2 linked regions of the Caenorhabditis elegans genome follow. The protein of the gene in region 2 binds, or shares a complex with, the protein of the main gene of each other region. Each region holds a gene or a part of one and is shown on either strand. Other genes may lie near its edges. A codon is read from its position in the direction of its gene.

The links.
Region 1: the proteins of epg-5 (region 2) and lgg-1 are in contact, whole or in part, in a crystal structure (PDB 8TGF), measured with the Caenorhabditis elegans proteins. Residues at the interface, in NP_001356411.1 of Caenorhabditis elegans: Ser505 (codon at 1,202), Thr506 (codon at 1,199), Trp507 (codon at 1,196), Glu508 (codon at 1,193), Ile509 (codon at 1,190), Leu510 (codon at 1,187), Ala511 (codon at 1,184), Asp512 (codon at 1,181), Asp513 (codon at 1,178); in NP_495277.1 of Caenorhabditis elegans: Tyr5 (codon at 1,455), Glu17 (codon at 1,419), Ile21 (codon at 1,407), Tyr25 (codon at 1,395), Asp27 (codon at 1,389), Arg28 (codon at 1,386), Pro30 (codon at 1,380), Val31 (codon at 1,377), Ile32 (codon at 1,374), Lys46 (codon at 1,332), Lys48 (codon at 1,326), Tyr49 (codon at 1,323), Leu50 (codon at 1,320), Val51 (codon at 1,317), Pro52 (codon at 1,314), Phe60 (codon at 1,290), Leu63 (codon at 1,281), Arg67 (codon at 1,269), Phe104 (codon at 1,106).

Annotation. Positions count from the first base shown.
Region 1 is NC_003280.10:6,346,220-6,349,373, forward strand, and holds lgg-1 (Protein lgg-1), read right to left. Parts: upstream 1,501-3,154; 5' UTR 1,468-1,500; coding exon 1,180-1,467; intron 1,128-1,179; coding exon 1,044-1,127; 3' UTR 741-1,043; downstream 1-740. UniProt on the Caenorhabditis elegans protein: Ubiquitin-like modifier involved in the formation of autophagosomal vacuoles (autophagosomes). When lipidated mediates tethering between adjacent membranes and stimulates membrane fusion during autophagy. Recruits lipidated-lgg-2 to maturing autophagosomes.
Region 2 is NC_003280.10:6,606,351-6,611,537, forward strand, and holds the start of epg-5 (Ectopic P granules protein 5), read right to left. Parts: upstream 3,016-5,187; 5' UTR 3,007-3,015; coding exon 2,893-3,006; intron 2,843-2,892; coding exon 2,781-2,842; intron 2,732-2,780; coding exon 2,632-2,731; intron 2,586-2,631; coding exon 2,328-2,585; intron 2,282-2,327; coding exon 1,678-2,281; intron 1,628-1,677; coding exon 1,494-1,627; intron 1,443-1,493; coding exon 1,055-1,442; intron 1,000-1,054; coding exon 941-999; intron 892-940; coding exon 815-891; intron 769-814; coding exon 476-768; intron 429-475; coding exon 304-428; intron 261-303; coding exon 1-260.

The sequences.
Region 1 (3,154 bases), 260 kb from region 2:
GCGACTCGTAGATTTACAATAGTAAGATGTAGAGAAACGAGACTCTTTTTTTAATCTCAAAAATATGTATTTAATTATACATCTTGAAAATTTTGCAGATTTTTTTAGAGTTAGCCTACAGTACTCGGTCTCGAAACGGCCAAAACTATTTAAATACCGTATCCGCAAGTATTTGTTTTTAATTTTTCATGATCTCCTACAATTTTCCAAAAATGTATCGGTTTTTCCTTTAAAAATGTGGAATTTTAAGTGAAACTATTACAACAGATACAGGTGAAAATTGCGAAACACTTTTGGGTGCGGTAGCTGAAAAGTTTCCATCGTGCCGAGACCGGCTACCGTATTTTCGCATTGAAAATCTCAAACTTCTGCAAATGGGTAGTACCAAAATTGTGTCTCGAAAATGATAAAATATGCCAGAATCGAATCAAAAATGATTCCTAAGTCAACGTTTGAGCCCTCTTATGACATTTTCAGACGATGACAACTAGAATAAACTGTCATTTGACAGATGACTAATGGATACAAAGAGCCTTTTTGCCAAAAGTGTGTCACCATTTTCGAAATAAAATTCTCATTTTTCTCTATACTTTGTTCAGAAATCTACAATGATGTTTACGTAATACAAATGTGACGTCAATTCTATACAGATGAAAAAGTGATTTCGCAATGTGTATTGCTAACTGTTGGAGGTATTCCATTCGCTGGCCGAAAATAACGATGAGCATGAACATGAATTTGTTTGTGTCTTCTTCGTTTATTCATGAATCAAAAATTTGAAAGTAATAGCAAAAAAATATCAAAATCCGAGAGAAAACATGATTTTCTGGGAGGGGAGAAGAGCAACTTCGTAGACAATAGTTTGAATAGAAGTCACTACTCGGAACCGTCATACGAGAAAAATGAGAAGAAAATGTGAAGGAAATACAGAATTATTACAGAAAATGAGAAGATTTTTTTAAAGGGGCTTTGGGTTTCCATTAGAAGTATGAAATTTCCATTGTACAAGTATACACATTCGTCGGCGGATAATACATGACACTTTATTCCTTCTTTTCGACCTCTCCTCCATACACACTTTCGTCACTGTAGGCGATGTAAAGGAACAAGTCTTCCTCGTGATGGTCCTGTAATAAAGAAAAGGGTTAATTAAATGAAAATAAACGACTGGTTAGTTACCTGGTAGAGTTGTCCCATTGTGGTCATGGTTTGTGGAATGACATTGTTGACAAAGAAGAACAGAGCATCTTCTGGACGAAGTTGGATGCGTTTTCTGATGAGGAAGTAGAACTGTCCAACAGTAAGATCGGATGGGACCAAGTACTTCTTCTTATCCAAGTCATGGAGCTTTGACTTTGGTGCTTTCTCAACAATCACTGGAATACGGTCTGGGTACTTTCTGCGGATCTTGTCTCCTTCGGCACGACGCTTCTCAAAGTTGTTCTCCTCCTTGTAAGCCCACTTCATTTTGATTCGAAGGTTAGTGTGAAGAGAAGGTTACTGGAATAAAAATACTTTAAATCACAGAAAAATCATAAAAGAACCATGAGAGAAGAAAGGTGTAACAAGTGAGAGTGAATGAAGGTGACATCACATGGGTTTTGAGAGATTGACCGATTCGATAACACATTGCGAAATCTATATAAAATTGACGACGAGTACTAGTAAGGCAAAAAGAGCATGAGCAAGAATGGCCCGTGTGCAAGTGAGAGAGGGAGTGTGCGCGCACATCGGTCATATGAGAGCGCGTAGACGCAGGAGACATCCTATTGATTTTCTATGTTTGTCTGGCCTGGTTTTGTTGAGATGCAGAGAAACAGGACAAGTACAATGCAGCTGTTTAGAGGTTGTCGGGGAAACTGTAATTCTGGGAAGACTGAAAGTCGATCGATATATTAGTAACATTTATCCAATATTCACTAGTATCCATAACCAGTTTCTACGAATATTCTTAGCGCATTGTTCCAAAAAATTGAATTCTGAAAGACTTTAGTAATCAACTATTAACTAGATTAATATGACCGTTCAATAAATAATTTTGGTATGATTTAGCAATATTTTTAGATAGAATTGTTAAACCGTACATTTAATAGTCAAACTTGTGAAACATTTCTTAATTTCAAATTTCAAATCTAAAAAAGATTTTGATTTGAAACCGGTTTTTTAAACAAACCAACTAAAATTACAAACTTTTAAATAAAAAAGTACTGTCGCTACCGACGTCGCCAGAAAGTGAAAGAAATGGCAGAAAGTCGCAAAGAAGAGCGAGAGGCAAGACTGAACACACCAAGACGAATGGCACTAGCTAGAAAGAGAGAGAGATGAGAGAGGGGCGGAGACGACGAGACACCACGACTCAACATCATGTGACTGTGTCATACGGCGGCGAAACGAGACAGCAGGCAGAGGAGAGCAAGAGAGTATAGGGAAACATTGGATGGTTTGAGAGAAGTAGAGCAGCATGGTGTAGAATCATCGGGGTTTCAGGTGCCGATCGACAGATTGTTTGTTCTTAGATTCTTTTGATAGGAAATTTTAAACGTTAGAAATGATCAAAAGTGATAAAAGGTTAGAATAACAACTAGACAACAGTTGGTATTGAGTATGTTTTGCTATTAAAGGAACATAATATGCTAAAACTAAACGAAATAAACGATATATAACTACTATATCCATACAATAATATGTAGGTGGAAAGTGCATTAGCGACATAATTCTAAAATAAAGAGTTGGAGCAATGAGAGCATCATCCACATTCACAGCTGTCACCGTGACGTAGAATGTAATGAACTAGAAGAGGGCATTCAAGACCAGCTGGTAAAACGCTAGAACTGACAATATAAAACAAATCAATTAAAAGATCTTAAAGACATTAGGGTGCACTCCATGTAATCGATCAGAAAGGCAAAAATATAAAAAGGAACAAGATAAAAATTTGCCGGAAGCAAACCGAGAAAAAATATTAAAAAAATAACCAAACAATAAACCAAAGGTTAAAAATTTATAGACAGTCAATAGTGACGAAATGTTTTACACGGACAGAAGTACAATAATCAGAATAAAGCTATAAATATAAATAAATAAAAAATGATAGCTAACATGGAGAAACAATAAAAATATGAAAAACGCTTTTTTCTTTGAACCGTAAACAACG
Region 2 (5,187 bases):
AGACGATTTGCTCCGTGTTCTGGAGGATTATTAATGAGCCATTTTCCTATGATGCTTATCATTGGTTCCGTTAATCGACATTCGAAAAGTCGTGATGATGATAAAACATTGATTGCATAGGAATCCATATGCTGAAGATTTCGATCAATAATAGTGAGCAATTGATGCAATGTTTCAGGTCTTTTTATAAGAATTTGTCCAATTGCTTCACCACCACATTTATACAAATCATCTCGAGTGTCTTCATCACAAAAGCAAACCTGCAAAAATGTAAAGTTTTTAGTTAAAAATGTTCAATCTCACATCAATAAGCTCTTTCAAAAGTTGCGAAACATCCGAATTTGAATAAGATCCAATTGAGGCCAATGAGTTGACAAGAAATTCTGAATCCTGAGCTCCAAGCGCACCTATTCGTTTTGAAATTCCTTCTGAAATTAATATGTTTATTATTTTGGTTTACTCTAAAGAAACTGACGACTACTAATCCTGGCGCGTACTTCACAAATTGGTGTATCATAAATCTCGTGAATAGACATTTTCTTATTCGATCTTAAAGCATATTCACATCGGCTTCTACATTCTTCGGAAACCACAGCATATGGTAACGACACCACAAATTGGAACAATCCAAGGGTGTCTTGATGAATCAAGTAATTTAGAGCTAGAAGTACAACTCGATCTACTTCTTTCTGAAGATGATGCTCTTCGCCTGGTCGAACTTGATCTCGAATAAGTCGCCAATTGGAGCAAAGTTCCCGAACGCTGTGCCTGAAAGAAAACACATTATCTAGGAGCCAAAGGATAACAAACTCACTTGAGACTTATTCCAATTTGCTTACAGAACATTTTATATCCGGGTTGAGAATAACTTGTCAAACCATTATCAAGAATCTTAAAAATTCAATGTTTCTATCATAAATTTAGATATTACTATACTTACTTTCATGAGCAAGAGCTGGAATGCAATCATAGCAGTAAATTGAGATCCTTTGTCAGAGTCTGAAAATTTGAAAATTTGAACGGTCTAAGTTTACAATTGCAACTTGAAACTTACATGAAGTGAAAGCAAGATAAGCAATTGAATAAAGCTCAGAAATCGGAAATTGATCAAGGAATGCAGTTAGATCTGATTCGTTGATTGTGACAAATGAAAACTCATTTGCTTCACCGTCATCGTCATCTGCAAGAATCTCCCAAGTTGACTCCTCTTTTTCAGATTGAGCAACATGGCGAAGGAAAGATTCTCGAGCTTTGATTGGGTTGAGGAGATGAGTGAGAAGTGCAACACAATAATCAAGCTTCAACTTTGGAGCAGATTGTGATTGAATGAAGGTTTGTACAAATGGAGAAGCCCATTGATCAATTGGAGATGGAAGACGTAAAAGGTGGCAAAGGAGGAATATACCGTCGTCGCATGATTGACGCATATTCAACACACATGTCTGAAACATTTTTTTACATAAACGTTACATTACGAACTTGAAATGATTTACCAATTCTTTGATCCATCCAACAAGTGTATCTATAAATCTTTTTGAAAGTCTTGGATACCGAAGATGATAGAATATGTCTGAAAGAGCAGTGCGAAGAGCAACTCTACCCGGTGTCATAGGTACACTGGCAATTACTGAAATACATTCATATTCAACTAGTAAGCTGTTGAAATAATAAACTCACAACTGGGTGGACAATTTGTAGACAACCCGTTTTCAGCCATGAAATTATTATTGATAATAATAACCTGCCATTGAATTTGTAGAGCAATTGATCTAAACGAAGTCTCTTCACAAACTGAATGATCCATCAGATTGCTTCGATTCGTAGAGAGAAGTTTCTTCATTTGATCCAGTACTGCCTGTTGCAGTTCAAAAGAAAAATACGATGCTCTACCTGTACCATCATTGTTGTCTCCACATTTTCCTTTTGCATCAACAGAAAGAGATTGTTGAACCCAACATTCTCGTAAACATTTTTGCAATTCTTCTGTATTCTCTTTTCCTTTCACTTCACTAACAGTCATTAGGTCACATACTGTTCTTAGTCTAGCTAAGAGTGGAAATAAAGATCCAGATTGAGTTGGTACTTCCTCAGTTTTAATAAACTGATCAACAAACATTTCGGCGTGCTCATAAAGGGGATTATGGTAGAATGTGACCAAGTTTTCTTCAGTCATTAAACCATGTTCATTCCGTTCGTAAGTTTTGATAGATGGATACATCGGAGGAGCTTCTCCCTCTCGTACACGCTCTCTCTCAACTGGTGCAGAAAATCGTGTTTTTTCCTACAAAAATAAAGAAAAATAATAAGGTTTCAGATTAAATACTTACTGGAATGGCAGTAGCTGAGTGTGAATGCTGAAGTCCTCCATTTATTGAAGGATACACTTGCGGATGTTGAAGCGCATCAGTATAGGATGGAAGTTCGGCTAGTTCGGGGACAGCTGGATATGAAGCAACTGCTACACTCCGTTTTGGTGCTACCGCTGTAGTTGATTCTTTTCTAGATTCAGCAACCATGCTGGTACTTCGTGGAAAGATCATACTTCTTGGAGGAATTGGTGGAGCTTCTCTTTCTTGAGAAACACGCTGAAAACAAATGATTCATATTTTGAGTTTTAGAATTTCAACTGACTGGTGGTGGAGGGGCTGGTCGAACTGGACTACTTCTCACATCTTTTAAAGGTTCAGATGCTTCTTCGCGTTTCAAGGAATCTTCGGTCAAGCTTATATCCCTGGAAACGTATACATATTTTTCAGTTCAATCGTTATTTTACCACTTACTGATCTTCAGGTTCCGGTGATGCTGATCTTTCTGGTAAATCCTCAATAGTATGTGATGGAGCCTGAAAATAAAATCAATATGAAACAAAAAGTTTAGTGGTATTGTTATTACCGCAGGGAGTCTCAAACCATTCACAATTGCAGGACGATCTGGTATTGGGGGTGTATAATCACTTTGTGCTCGCTCTCGATGTTTTGGCTTTTTTGGACGAACCAATTCCGCCATTTTGAAACTAAATTAATATATTTTATTAATTTTTCTTATAAAAAGAAATGCGACAAGTACAGTACGAAGTCAACAAATTAATTCAATAGTCGAGGATTTCAACTAGAAAATATAAAAAATCTGTATAGCAGGATAAATTGCTCTATTTCTGCATTTTTTAGTATGAGTCACGAAAAAAAGTGGTCTGACGGCAAATAAAAACCCGAATTGAACTGAACACAGCACGTGAAGAGGGAAAATGACGACAAATACGCAATGTCCGTCGTCGTGTTTGCGGACCAAACCATTTTTGTGAAATCGATCGGGAGCCCGAGCACTCTACCGATTGAGAACAGTTGATAACTATAGTATAGATTCGATGAGAACATTTATTATTTTGAAAAAGTTTTTACAAAATGTCCCATGATTTTTTTTTTAATATAACGACATTGACACTGAAAAACAAATAAATTTATAGTTAGAATGCTTCGAGAAGAGAAATGATAAGAAAACGATGTGCAAGCATTTTGCTATTTCAACGTCAATGTCTACATGATTTATAACAGGAACTTAGATTGAAAATGGATTTTATTTCGGAAACAATCGAAAGAAAAACATATTTTCTTTTTCATAGTTTTTTCCTTCTGGGAATGGTCTGCAACATACGTTATGTTTTCGTGAATAGTAGATTTGAAACAAACGAGATCTTATGAATTTCGAAATCTAGAAACAACATGGTTTACTTTTGTGAAAACCTAATAACATTTGAAGGCTATTTTTAATAATGCCTCTCACCTTTTGCCAATCTCTGAAATTAATGCTGAAATTAAAAATAAGGTTTATCATTAATATTTAAAAACTACGTGGAGCATTCCAATTTATATATTTTTGGATCATGTCACGGAGCAATATTTTTGTAGTTTCCAAAAGCAAATCCCTTTTTCCCAAATCGCAACTTTATTTTTTAATGTCCATTGGTTAGTTTTAGGAGTGTGAATGAATGTTTCAAATCTCTAAACGGTTTATCTACGAGAAAGTACACAAAACGTGAGAGAAACCAGACACTTTTGACAGGTAATTAATAGACAGTTAGTGTGAATTTCTACGATTGCCAAACCAATTTCTTCGTTCAATTCGCACACTCACACATGAGTTTATCGTTGATTTGTCCTTGCGCAATTGAAACATTTCCTCGCTTATCTGCCACATCATCCGGACATGAGATTAATGAGATTTTGAATCTGAATTGAACAGGATATCAATTCAAATGAGAGACGATCAATGAGCAAACCATTAGAAAGCGTTTAGTCTGAAGAAATTGGTTACTGTATTGTAGGTAAATGGTTTGGACTACAGTTGGATAACGTTTTACAGGAGATAAGTTTGACATGCTTCGTATCACATGAAGATAATATTTTGATAAAGATGTTTGTACATAATGATTTCAGAATTCAGAACAATTCTGGCAGAAATGCACGAAATGTTTGAAAGAAGAGCTCCAAGAATAGTCTTTCACATAGGCACAAAAACGACTCTAGTACCAGATTCAAGTGTCTTTTTACCTTCCTTGAGTCAAATTTGGAACGTGGGGCAACCTGACAGTTTCTGACAATTATATAAAAGGATTAAAAAACCTGAACTAGTTAATTTAAAATTTAAATAATATGAATAATTCTTCAAACACCGGAAGCTTGTTTAAATAATACATCCAGTTCTAATTTTGAAGCAATTTTGTAAAAATGGTAACTTTCATTTCAGCATGCTTCTCCCTTTTAATTTATGTTCATCAAAGACCCCATCCGAAGGAATTCATAAATTTTTATTTGTTCATCAAAAACCTGGCATCTACAATTCACGCTTTCTTTGAGGATATGATCTACCGCCTGAAAGTGTGTCCGTACAAGACAACCCAAACAAAGTTTATTCAGCAATGATTAATCGACAGAGACGTTCGCGCATTTTTTCGTGAGGAAGCGGCACTTTGTGAGTGTAAGATTTGGTCGGGACGGCGAATTGTCCCTTTGACAAAAAATTGGAACGAGAAAGGAAAGATTAGAATGTTGCGATCATATGGAAGATGATGATGTATTTCTTAATAGAGCAATGTTCTTTTTTTTTAATGTTTATGAAACGATTCGAGTTCTAATTCCCAGACGTAAAATTGATAATTAATATTACCTGAAAAAGTGTCCTTCTAATCAG